Arabidopsis thaliana: one gene and its partner. The protein of the gene in region 2 interacts with the protein of the main gene of each other region in a pairwise test. Each region holds a gene or a part of one and is shown on either strand. Other genes may lie near its edges.

Evidence for each region. Proteins that work in one complex are often made in the same cells at the same time.
Region 1: the proteins of FAR1 (region 2) and HB24 interact in a two-hybrid assay, tested with the Arabidopsis thaliana proteins (one large-scale study listed by BioGRID).

What each region holds. Positions count from the first base shown.
Region 1 is NC_003071.7:7,970,508-7,973,983, forward strand, and holds HB24 (homeobox protein 24), read right to left. Parts: upstream 1,575-3,476; 5' UTR 1,404-1,574; coding exon 615-1,403; 3' UTR 519-614; downstream 1-518. Other genes in the region: AT2G18340 (late embryogenesis abundant domain-containing protein / LEA domain-containing protein), read left to right, coding at 1-518. UniProt on the Arabidopsis thaliana protein: Putative transcription factor.
Region 2 is NC_003075.7:8,612,458-8,618,727, reverse strand, and holds FAR1 (FRS (FAR1 Related Sequences) transcription factor family), read right to left. Parts: upstream 4,669-6,270; 5' UTR 4,455-4,668; exon of another isoform or gene 4,036-4,454; 5' UTR 3,923-4,035; coding exon 1,799-3,922; intron 1,703-1,798; coding exon 1,649-1,702; intron 1,529-1,648; coding exon 1,460-1,528; intron 1,366-1,459; coding exon 1,303-1,365; intron 1,211-1,302; coding exon 1,139-1,210; intron 1,051-1,138; coding exon 1,003-1,050; intron 912-1,002; coding exon 858-911; 3' UTR 558-857; downstream 1-557. Other genes in the region: catalytic LigB subunit of aromatic ring-opening dioxygenase family, read right to left, coding at 38-274. UniProt on the Arabidopsis thaliana protein: Transcription activator that recognizes and binds to the DNA consensus sequence 5'-CACGCGC-3'. Activates the expression of FHY1 and FHL involved in light responses. Positive regulator of chlorophyll biosynthesis via the activation of HEMB1 gene expression.

The DNA.
Region 1 (3,476 bases), on a different chromosome or scaffold from region 2:
CCTATGATAAGGCGGGCAATGCCAAGGACATGGCCTATGATAAGGTGGGATCTGCTTATGGCAGTGCGCAGAAGGCAAAGGATTCTGGTTATGAGAAAGCTGGTGAGGCCAAAGACTACGCCTACAAGAAGGCTGGCAATGCAAAAGACATAGCTTACGAAAAGGCCCAAGATGCAAAAGACTTTGCATATGACAAGGCGGGTTACGGATACGACAAGGCCGGTGATGTGATTAGGATGGCAACGGATAAGAGCGGTGAAGCCTATGAAGGAGCCAAAGAAAAGTCAAAGAGTGCCAAAGACACGGCAGGAGAAGCAATGGATGATTCTATTGACTACATGAAAGACAAATCACACAATGCCAAAGATGGAGCAACTAGAGGATTTGAAGAAGCCATGGAAAAAGTCGGCGAAAAGTACGGTGTAGCCAAAGAATCCACAAAATATGCTTATGAAACCGCAAAGAAAAAGGCTTCTCAAGTTGCGGGAGAAATAAGAGACCGTTATGCTGAGCTCTAAAATCAATTTGTTATACAATAAACACAAAGTCTTTAAGTTAAAGCAATGTTGAACAAAGAGAAGTAAAAATAGTATATATATATATATAGAAATCTCTTACAAATCCTTCTTCTTTGCTGCTTGTTTATTGTTGTGCATCCAAACTTTAAACACTTGTCTTTTAACTTTAATCTCACGACAAAACCGATTCACTTCATCATCTTCTAGTTTTGTCATTCTCCAACCAATCTTCTCAGCAAACTCCATCATCTTCTCCTTCTGTTCTTCATTAAACTTTGTCCTAAACCGTTTCTTGGGTTGATAATGATGAAACTGATCCACTCCATAACCACTAAAAGATTGATGAAACTTGTTTAGATCCTCCGTCGATGACTCCGCCGCACAACCACCACCACCACCAAAACTCATCATTATCGGAGACACGTGGCGGCTTCCGAGTGGTCTCTGTGAATGGCCAAAGCTATTGAAATTGACAACAAACAAACCATCGATCTCTTTTCTATGGAAGCTCCGGTGGCAATCACAAGCTGCACAAAGAAGAGACTCCACCGTGCCTTCTTCCCCGGAAGACATAAACTCGCCGCAACCGTCGACAACGTGTCCACCGGAGCTCGCCGCGTGATTCTTTTGGCATTCTCTATACCTTGCCTTCCCCGGAGAAGTAGTTTGAGGCCTAGCGTATGATCTTGGAGCATGAGATATAGAAATTGGGTTAGTATCAAGATCCGGATCCGGATCCGGGTCCGACCCGTTTCTTTTGGTGGTGGGTTTCTCTTTGTTGGCGGTTTGGGAGTAAGTGTACGGAGGAAGACGATGATGATCTAGAGCTGATGATTTTCTTCTTGTCATCTCCATTTTCTCATCTTTCTTCTCTCTAACTTCCATCTTTTCTGATCTTGAAGCTTCTGAATAAAGAAAACCCTAATATATAACTTTTCTCTTAAACAAACATTAAAACTTTCTTAGTAATCTCTCTCCAAAACCCTAAGCTATTTTGATTAAAGAAATCATCATAGCTTTAGCTTCTCATAAACCTATAGAGAAAATGAAGATGATAAATATCTCTTCCAAAGTTGAAACCTTTTTAAAAATTTTGACTTTGACTTTTGTATTAGTGATAGCCCACCAAAACCTACTAGACTAATCTCAAGTCTACAAGCAACTAAATTAAAGGGGAAAACTTATCTAACCCCATTTAAGAAGAGATCAAGAAAAGAAAATAAAGTTTAGGTCGTTACTAATGGAGAAAGAGAAAAGAGGAGAGAAGAAGACACTATTGGTCCTTCTAGAGAGAGAATTAGAGAATCGTGTTTCCTATTGCCCATCAATTTCCGAGAGAGAAAAAAAATCTAATGAAGGAGCCAAGTGGGTTTGGTCTGTGCCAATAATAATAATAACACAGTCCACTAAGAAACAAGAGATGGAGAGAGAAAGTAAGATGTGGACTTGTAGCAGACAGTGCCACGTTGTTTCTCTATCATACAGTGTCCGCACATTGGTCGCAATACATCTTTCTTTTATTGGTTTTTAATGTTGAGTAATGATAAAATTATCTTGTGTTAATTAAGTCGAATGTCAACAATTAGTATAGTTGATGAGATTAGTGTCTGTGGCTTAGCGTAAAATTAGCGATGTAAGTAGGTTTAGTACGATCAGTGCAACATATTATGGTGCATGCATTAAATATTGTTTGTAAAATAAAATGAAAGATTGAATACCTTATGAACATTTACTTTGTAAAATAAATAAGATAACCAAAATATTGTTTGTAAAATAAGCGAAAATCGAATTGGTCGAAATATTTGTAATATATGGTATGGTCTCTTATCTACTTTGATCTGATTTTTAAAATTCAGACAACCAAAATAAGATGATTTGGGCAGAATTTTTTCTCAACTCTTTTATTTTGCGCTAATTAGAGTAACCAATCACATTCTTAATGTTTTTTTCCGTACACACCCTTAATGTTTAAAGTTATGAAAACATACAATAAATAAAAAAAATGGAGTAATCGACAGTGTTTTGACCGGATTTGTGTTTCATAATGCAATCCTTACACAATTCTCATTGGAGAGCTTTATTTCATTTTATTTTTTTGGGAAAAACTGGAGAGCTTTTACCGGACTTTTAATATATAAAAACTTATGAAAAAAATTCTTAATAGGCTTTTCTTCCACTTGTCAATTTATATTTAATATTAAATTTTTCATTTTAGTGTAAGTTACATTAAAATAACAATATTTATTGTTAAGATATTCAAAATAAGTATCTAATGGATGAGAATTATGGTTTAGAAGAATAAATATAAAATCAAAACAAAAAAAAAGAACAGAAAGTGGACGAATGATGTTCTACTTGACATATAAAACTAAAACTAAATCTTCAAACCAAGATATATATATATATATATATATATATATATATATATATATATATACTTTTAGTTACGGTTGATTTCTCCAAAATGGAGCCAAAAGATCAGTAGACCATGATAGAAGAACAAAAAAAGGATTTTAGTGCTGGATAATGATTATGATTCGTTGATGACATACAGGATTATTATCATTTGTTTAGTTAGTTGAACAATTATATTTAAATTGAATGGTCAGTCTAGATACATGTAACTATATGCATTTCTCATGTGCGACATATCTCATCCCATATGCTGTTCCTCGCGGCCACACGTTCGGGGAAATCTAACTTGATTTTTTTTACAATAAACAATACTAGTACTTCGTGAAGAAAAAGAATTACTAACATTTTGAGATTCTTAATTTCTAATAATGCCTTTTTTAGAAGAAAAAAAAATCAAAGTTTAGGAGAGAGGAAAATAATAATATTCTAAAGTTTACAACTATCATCTAAGAAACTAGTATATATCATTCTATCATTGTACTTTTTTAAATATAACATTTATCATTATACAAAAAAATTCATAACATCCTATGAAAAATAAAT
Region 2 (6,270 bases):
CTGTTGAGACAAAAAGTTATATTTTTTTTGGTTTTACCTTGTACATAGGATCAGGGAAGCCAGAGAAATCGTGGATCGTGTTATTGCGAAGAACAGTGTTGACAGATGGGAATTTGGTGTCCCAATGAGCAGAGATGACTAAAATCGATTTGGGTTTTTGAGGAAGAACTTTTTGAGTCCATGATTTGAAGAATTGTCTCGCTTCCAAGGAATCATCTATGCTCAAAGTTGGAGATCCATGAGATAAGAAGAAGGTTTGATTCACTTTCTCCATTGAAAATTGAAATCTCTCGAGATCTTTGCCTCTCTTTTTTTTTTTTTGCAAATGTTTCTTTTGACCAACTCTATTAGTTTTGGTTCTTCCCCAGTTTTGATGTTGTCTGAATAAAGAAACCTTTTCTGTTTGTTTGTTTTGTCAAAAGGGACACACCTACATACGACAACGACCAGGGAATGTGTATTTAACCAAATTAACCACATTTAATCTAAAAATAACTTTTTGTTTCTACTAAATAAGTTGAAACCTGTTTTAACAATTTTGATTTAATGTGATCTCAAAATTACTTGTTTGACTAATACACAGAGGATAGATTTCTATGTGTTTAGATAAAGATGTTGTTACAAGTGCATCTATTAAATCTCAAGACATTCAATCAGATAACACAATATTTCATCCCACATTAATACATCATAAGGCAATCCCATAATATACAGAAACCAATTTAAGAAAAGATTACATCTTGTCATTGCAACTCAGCTCCATGAAAGATCTTGTGTTTTTCTCATGTTTGGAACAGCTTCTTGCAAATGTTTCCTGAGACAAAACTTCTCTCCAAAGTAATCAAAACGTGTTGCTACTATAGCTGCCTTGATGAACTACCAGGTAATTGGGCAGAACTCAAATGCTCTTCCTGGAATAACGAAAAGATTTAACGATATCAACACGTGTGGTTCGAGTACAAAATGATACTAAAGTAAAGACTTTATCCAGGCAGCTGAGACCTGTAAAGTGTAAGTGAAATTGGGAGGAGGTCTGAAATCGATTTGACCCTGGACCGGACAATAAACAAAAGATGTTAACAACACGATCATTCATAACACAGTTTTTAAAATCAGTTTGAAGGATTTTATAATGTACCACCATCCCAGACATGGCTTGCTGATTCGTGAAGAAGCTATCCTGCGCCGGTGCTATCGAATTCAGTTGTCCCTGAAGAGTCAAAAGAACCAAAATTCATGTCGTTGACTTATACTCTAGCACAGATTTGGGAGATTCAAGCATTTAAACTATATGTAACCTACCAGGCCTTGGATGGTTCGTTGATCTACATAGTAGCCTTCATGAGGTGGCTCCATTAAATTTAACTATATCCACAGTTTAAACAGGTTTAGTATTAGGGTTTATAATAGATGTCGAATGGCTTAACCAGGTTTGTATTAATCAACTAACATAGCATACCAGTCCTTGAACGTTCTGTTGAGGACCATAGTAACCATTCATGTCCATCGCCTCTGAACTTATAGTTTCCTGCACAAAATGTTAAAACTATAAGGCCATATATCCAAGACATCCTACTCTTAATCTCATAAAGCAATGTGCAGTTACAATGATCAAACTAATTAGAGAAGATCAAATCAAAGCACAAACCATTGGTTGCAAGCTCTGTTGAGATTCAAGCATTTGGCTAGCCTCTTGTTGTCCCTGCATAAGATCAATTTGAGTATCTTCTTTTTAACCTTTGAAGCTAAGAAAATGTACGTAGGTTTAGATTGGCGAGAAGCTTCAGTAAAAGCATACCTTTCTTTTCCTATATACAGTCTTCTTTTTTGTTGCTTTTACCCCAGCCATTACCTGGTTTTCTTCTTCGTGAGTACCATTATTAAGCTGGCTATTAGACTCAGTGATGTTGTTTCTAGCATTATTCATATCAACACAATTTTTCAGGGTCTCGACTAGTGTGCGCAATGCGATGTTGTAGTTTTCTTCTGACACACAACCTTCCTCACTCAATTCAGTGGCTCGACTACACAAATCGTTATAGCGCTGAACTCGGGTCTGTATCTGGTCTGCTCCTTCACCAGCTAATACTCCACTCTTAGCATCTTTTGTCCACCTTTTCAATATATACTGAGGCGGGATGCTGGCGAAACCACACATCTGCAGAATCATCAAAGCATGCCGACAAAGAAACCCTTTGTATTCAAACATACGACAGAAGCAGCAAAGTTCTGACTTAGTTTTGCTCCACGTTACAAGAAAGTCATCGTCTTTTTCACAGTCTTGAACTCTAAACGTCGCCATATTTTCATCTTCTTTTTCCTTTCTAGGATGGCAAGCGACAACCCCCAAGACCTCGACTTGAAATTTCTTAAATATTGTGTGGGTGTAAGTTGTTGCCATTTGCTTCTCCCAGGGCGAGGGGGACTTCAATGCAGGTTGCTTGTGGCAAGTATCGAAATCTGCAACAGATTCCTCTTCGTACCTATTCTGCAGAATCACACCGTATTGCCTCAAGAACTCTTTCAGCGTGATTTTCTTATGGATGTACTTATCGAAGAAAGAGTTCACACTTTCTGAACGTTGAGATGTCGACATGCCTGCCAGAAACACATCGCTCATAAATGTGGGCACCCACTTTTGGCGATGTTCATGCAACCATAGCAGCCATTCATCATTCTCAAGTCCAAACTGGCTGACCATTTTCCACCACCTCATATCAAACTCATCATCTGTCCAAGATCTGAAAATGCATTTGTTGAATTTCAGTAAGAAATTCTCGTGCCGTTTCATCACATGTGAGAAATATTCAGGAATCTTTTCTAAAACATGCCATAACGCAAAGCAATGACGAGTGTTTGGTAGGAGCTCTGAAACAGCAGACATCAAGAATTTATCTTGGTCAGTGAGTATAACTTTAGGAGCTCGACCACCCATTGCTCGTAGCCATGTTTTTATCAGCCACACAAAAGTCTCCATAGACTCATCAGCAACCAATGCACAGCCTAGTAACATAGGTTGGGAGTGATGGTTCACCCCAATAAATAAAGCTAGTGGCAACTTATCGTTAAACTTGACATAAGTAGTATCAAAGGATACAACATCATTGAAACTCAAATAGTCATCTCTGCTCTTGGCATCAGCCCAAAACAGATTTCTTAAACGTTGGTCCTCGTTCAGGTCTATAGCATAAAAGAATTTAGGGTTTTCTTTCTTGATACGCTTGAAGTACTCAAGCAGTACTTGAGAATCTCCTTCTTCCAAAGCTAGATACCTACCCTTATCAACCTGACTGCTGACATCGGTCTGAAGAAGAGACCCGATATTCTTATATCCGCCAGATTGTCTCGACATTTCAACATACATTTTTTTGGTCCGTTCACTAACCGCATGCAGAATGTCGATATTATTCTTCTCAGCTAACTTGACATTCCTCTGAATCCGGAAATGATAAGCAAGGGCAGGTAAAAGTTCGTGATTGTGATCCTTTACAAACTCATGAATGATCCATTTCCCATCTGGTCTTCTCTTCACATGCATACTAGCCTTGCAATCTGTTTTTTTCACAGTTGACCTTCGACTACTACTACCACTACTCTCAGACTCAGGAGTCACACCATATCTGGAACAAGCAAACTTAGCATCAATGAAGTCTTTAGTTTTCTTGGAACGTCTACTGTTTTTAATCGACGTAGTAAAACCCATAGATTTTGCATATTCCTGATAAAAGATATACGCTGCCTCATGGGTATCAAAGTCTATACCATTTCGTGGCTCAAGATCCAGATCACCACTAAATCCAACATCTCCACCTATATTGAACTCATCAACAATTCCTATATCTCTGTTACTATGCGGTTCAACTACAATGTCAACCATATGGTCATCCCCTGCATCACTAACCAGATTCTCTTGCAAATCCATCCTAACCTTAGCCACATATGGATTCACTAACACACTCAAAAGCAACTACCCCACTATGGGCTTCCATGAAATTGGAAACTGAAATCTTTCTACTAGATAATCCACCTTAGCACCTGAAAAATGTCACAACCAAACTTCATAAGAACCAGCGCGACATCTTCTACCTAAAAACATCAAACTTGAAACACACAAAGCAATATGAAATCAATGGAATCAAATGAAAGTGAAGAACTTTCAACAACATAACTTCTAATAGTAGAAAAGTTCTGTTTCTAAAGCCAAAAAAGAGTAAAATTTCACACAAATAAGAGAAGGAGACCTGAGAACTCAAACTAAGAGAGTCAGAGACAACATACTTCTAGTAGTAGAAAAGTTCTGGTTCTAAAATTTCAGTGAAAGAACTGAACTTTCATTAGTATCAGCATAAAAGACAGAGACTTTAATGTATCTTAAGAGAAAACCTGAGAATTCAAATGAAGAGACTACAAAATTCAGGAAATGTCAAACTTTTGGATTGGTGAGGGCTTTTTACTGTATTTTCTCGGCCACCCAGAGAGAGACAAAGGGAGGGAAGGCAAAATTCTGACGTGAAAAGAGCAAAGCAAAGAAGAACACGAAGCAGGCGAGTGGGGAAGCAAAAGCGAGTGAGGAACCAAGGAGCGTGAGAGGAGAAAATCTAGGGTTCTTTTTGGGAATTTTTAGGGATCTTGGATTATGTTTTTATTTTTATTTTTTTCATTTGTTGTAAATCTCTTACTAGCCTTTACTAATTAAACATAAAGGCTTTTTGATTGGTAACACGTGTAATGACATAATGACGTTTGTTTTCGACGCGATTTTTTTTCATAATCGCGTCTATATTTACGTTTGGCGTGTGAGAAGCATTGCTGATTTATGTATTCTTAGAAAAATTGATTATTTTAAAAGCATCAGCATTGTGATTTTTTACCAAAATCTCTCGCCTACATTAATAATAATAAAATAATAAACAATATTTTTTTAATTAAAACAATTTCTAAGAAAATATGAGAAAGTTTTTAATTTAAAAGATTTGAAAAAACTATTTTAAAAAACTCTTCAAATTAAATATTTTTTTTATTATTATTACTTTAGTAAATTAAAAACTTTGGTTAGAAACCACCACTACACATGTTCTAAAAGATTTTAATTTTAACTGTATGATAATCTTCTTTTCATACAGTTTACTATAATTTTTCCACATTTTTCAAAAGAGTTATGTAGTAAACTAAATTTATCATAACTTTTAATATGATTTTTACATCTATTTTTATGATTTTTACATAACTATTAATATCTACAGTTTTTTTTTTATTATAAGTTCAAATAAAACAAAAAATACAAGAATATTAAAATAAATAACATTAAATCTATTTTTGTACATATGAGATACATGCTTATTCTTATTATGACAAATCAAGTATACTTTTTTTTTTAATCTTTACCGTCATTTTTTCTATATATATGTGGGTATCTCATATTCTATATGTAATATGCTAATCAATTACATGATGTTGATGGCTTTCACATCAAAACAGAGCTGACATTTGCCACCAAATATAAATAAAACTGTAGGGCAAATTGTACGAGAGTTGTGCTCTGAGTCACTTGCTTTTAGATTTAGTTATGGAGTTACAAATGCAGGGTTTGCATCTTATCTTTTAATATTTTTTTTCTTTTCTACTCACATATCTTTTTTTTTATGTGGAGTGGAAGATAATTGTTTTTAATTCATTTAATATTTTTTGATTTAATTCCTTTTTAAACAGCAAAATCTTTTAATATTTGATTTAATTTGGCTAAATTCTTCTAAAAATCTGAAATTTAGACATTAAATAACTTTCTAATATATATATATTTAAGTATTACTGAGAACTTTTTAATATTATATAAAAATTATATTATTTAATTAATACTTTAAGCTACCATATTATCATTAATAATGGTTATATAATTTAAAAATAATTAAAATTTGCTACGGAAAAAAAGAAAATATCAAAGAGGTGAAATAGACACGTAAGCTAAAAATCCAGCGTTGGTACTAATAGTAACCAGTAACCACTTTCATTTGTCCGTCTCGCTCTTTTAGCCTGTCAACGCTTTTCTATTTTGTCTTTTTTCTTTCTTCTAAAAATTCTCTCTTTTATTCCTTCTTCCATTTCTCTCTCTCTTCTTCCTTCTCCAGTTACTTTGGTCTCCGCCATGGCTACACAGTAAGCTTTTTCTTCGCTATTCGACTCTAAATTTGCTAACTTTGAATTCGCTTAGGTCATCTCTAATTTCACATTCGTTATTTTTCTTTTATTTTCAATTTAATATATTACAGGAGT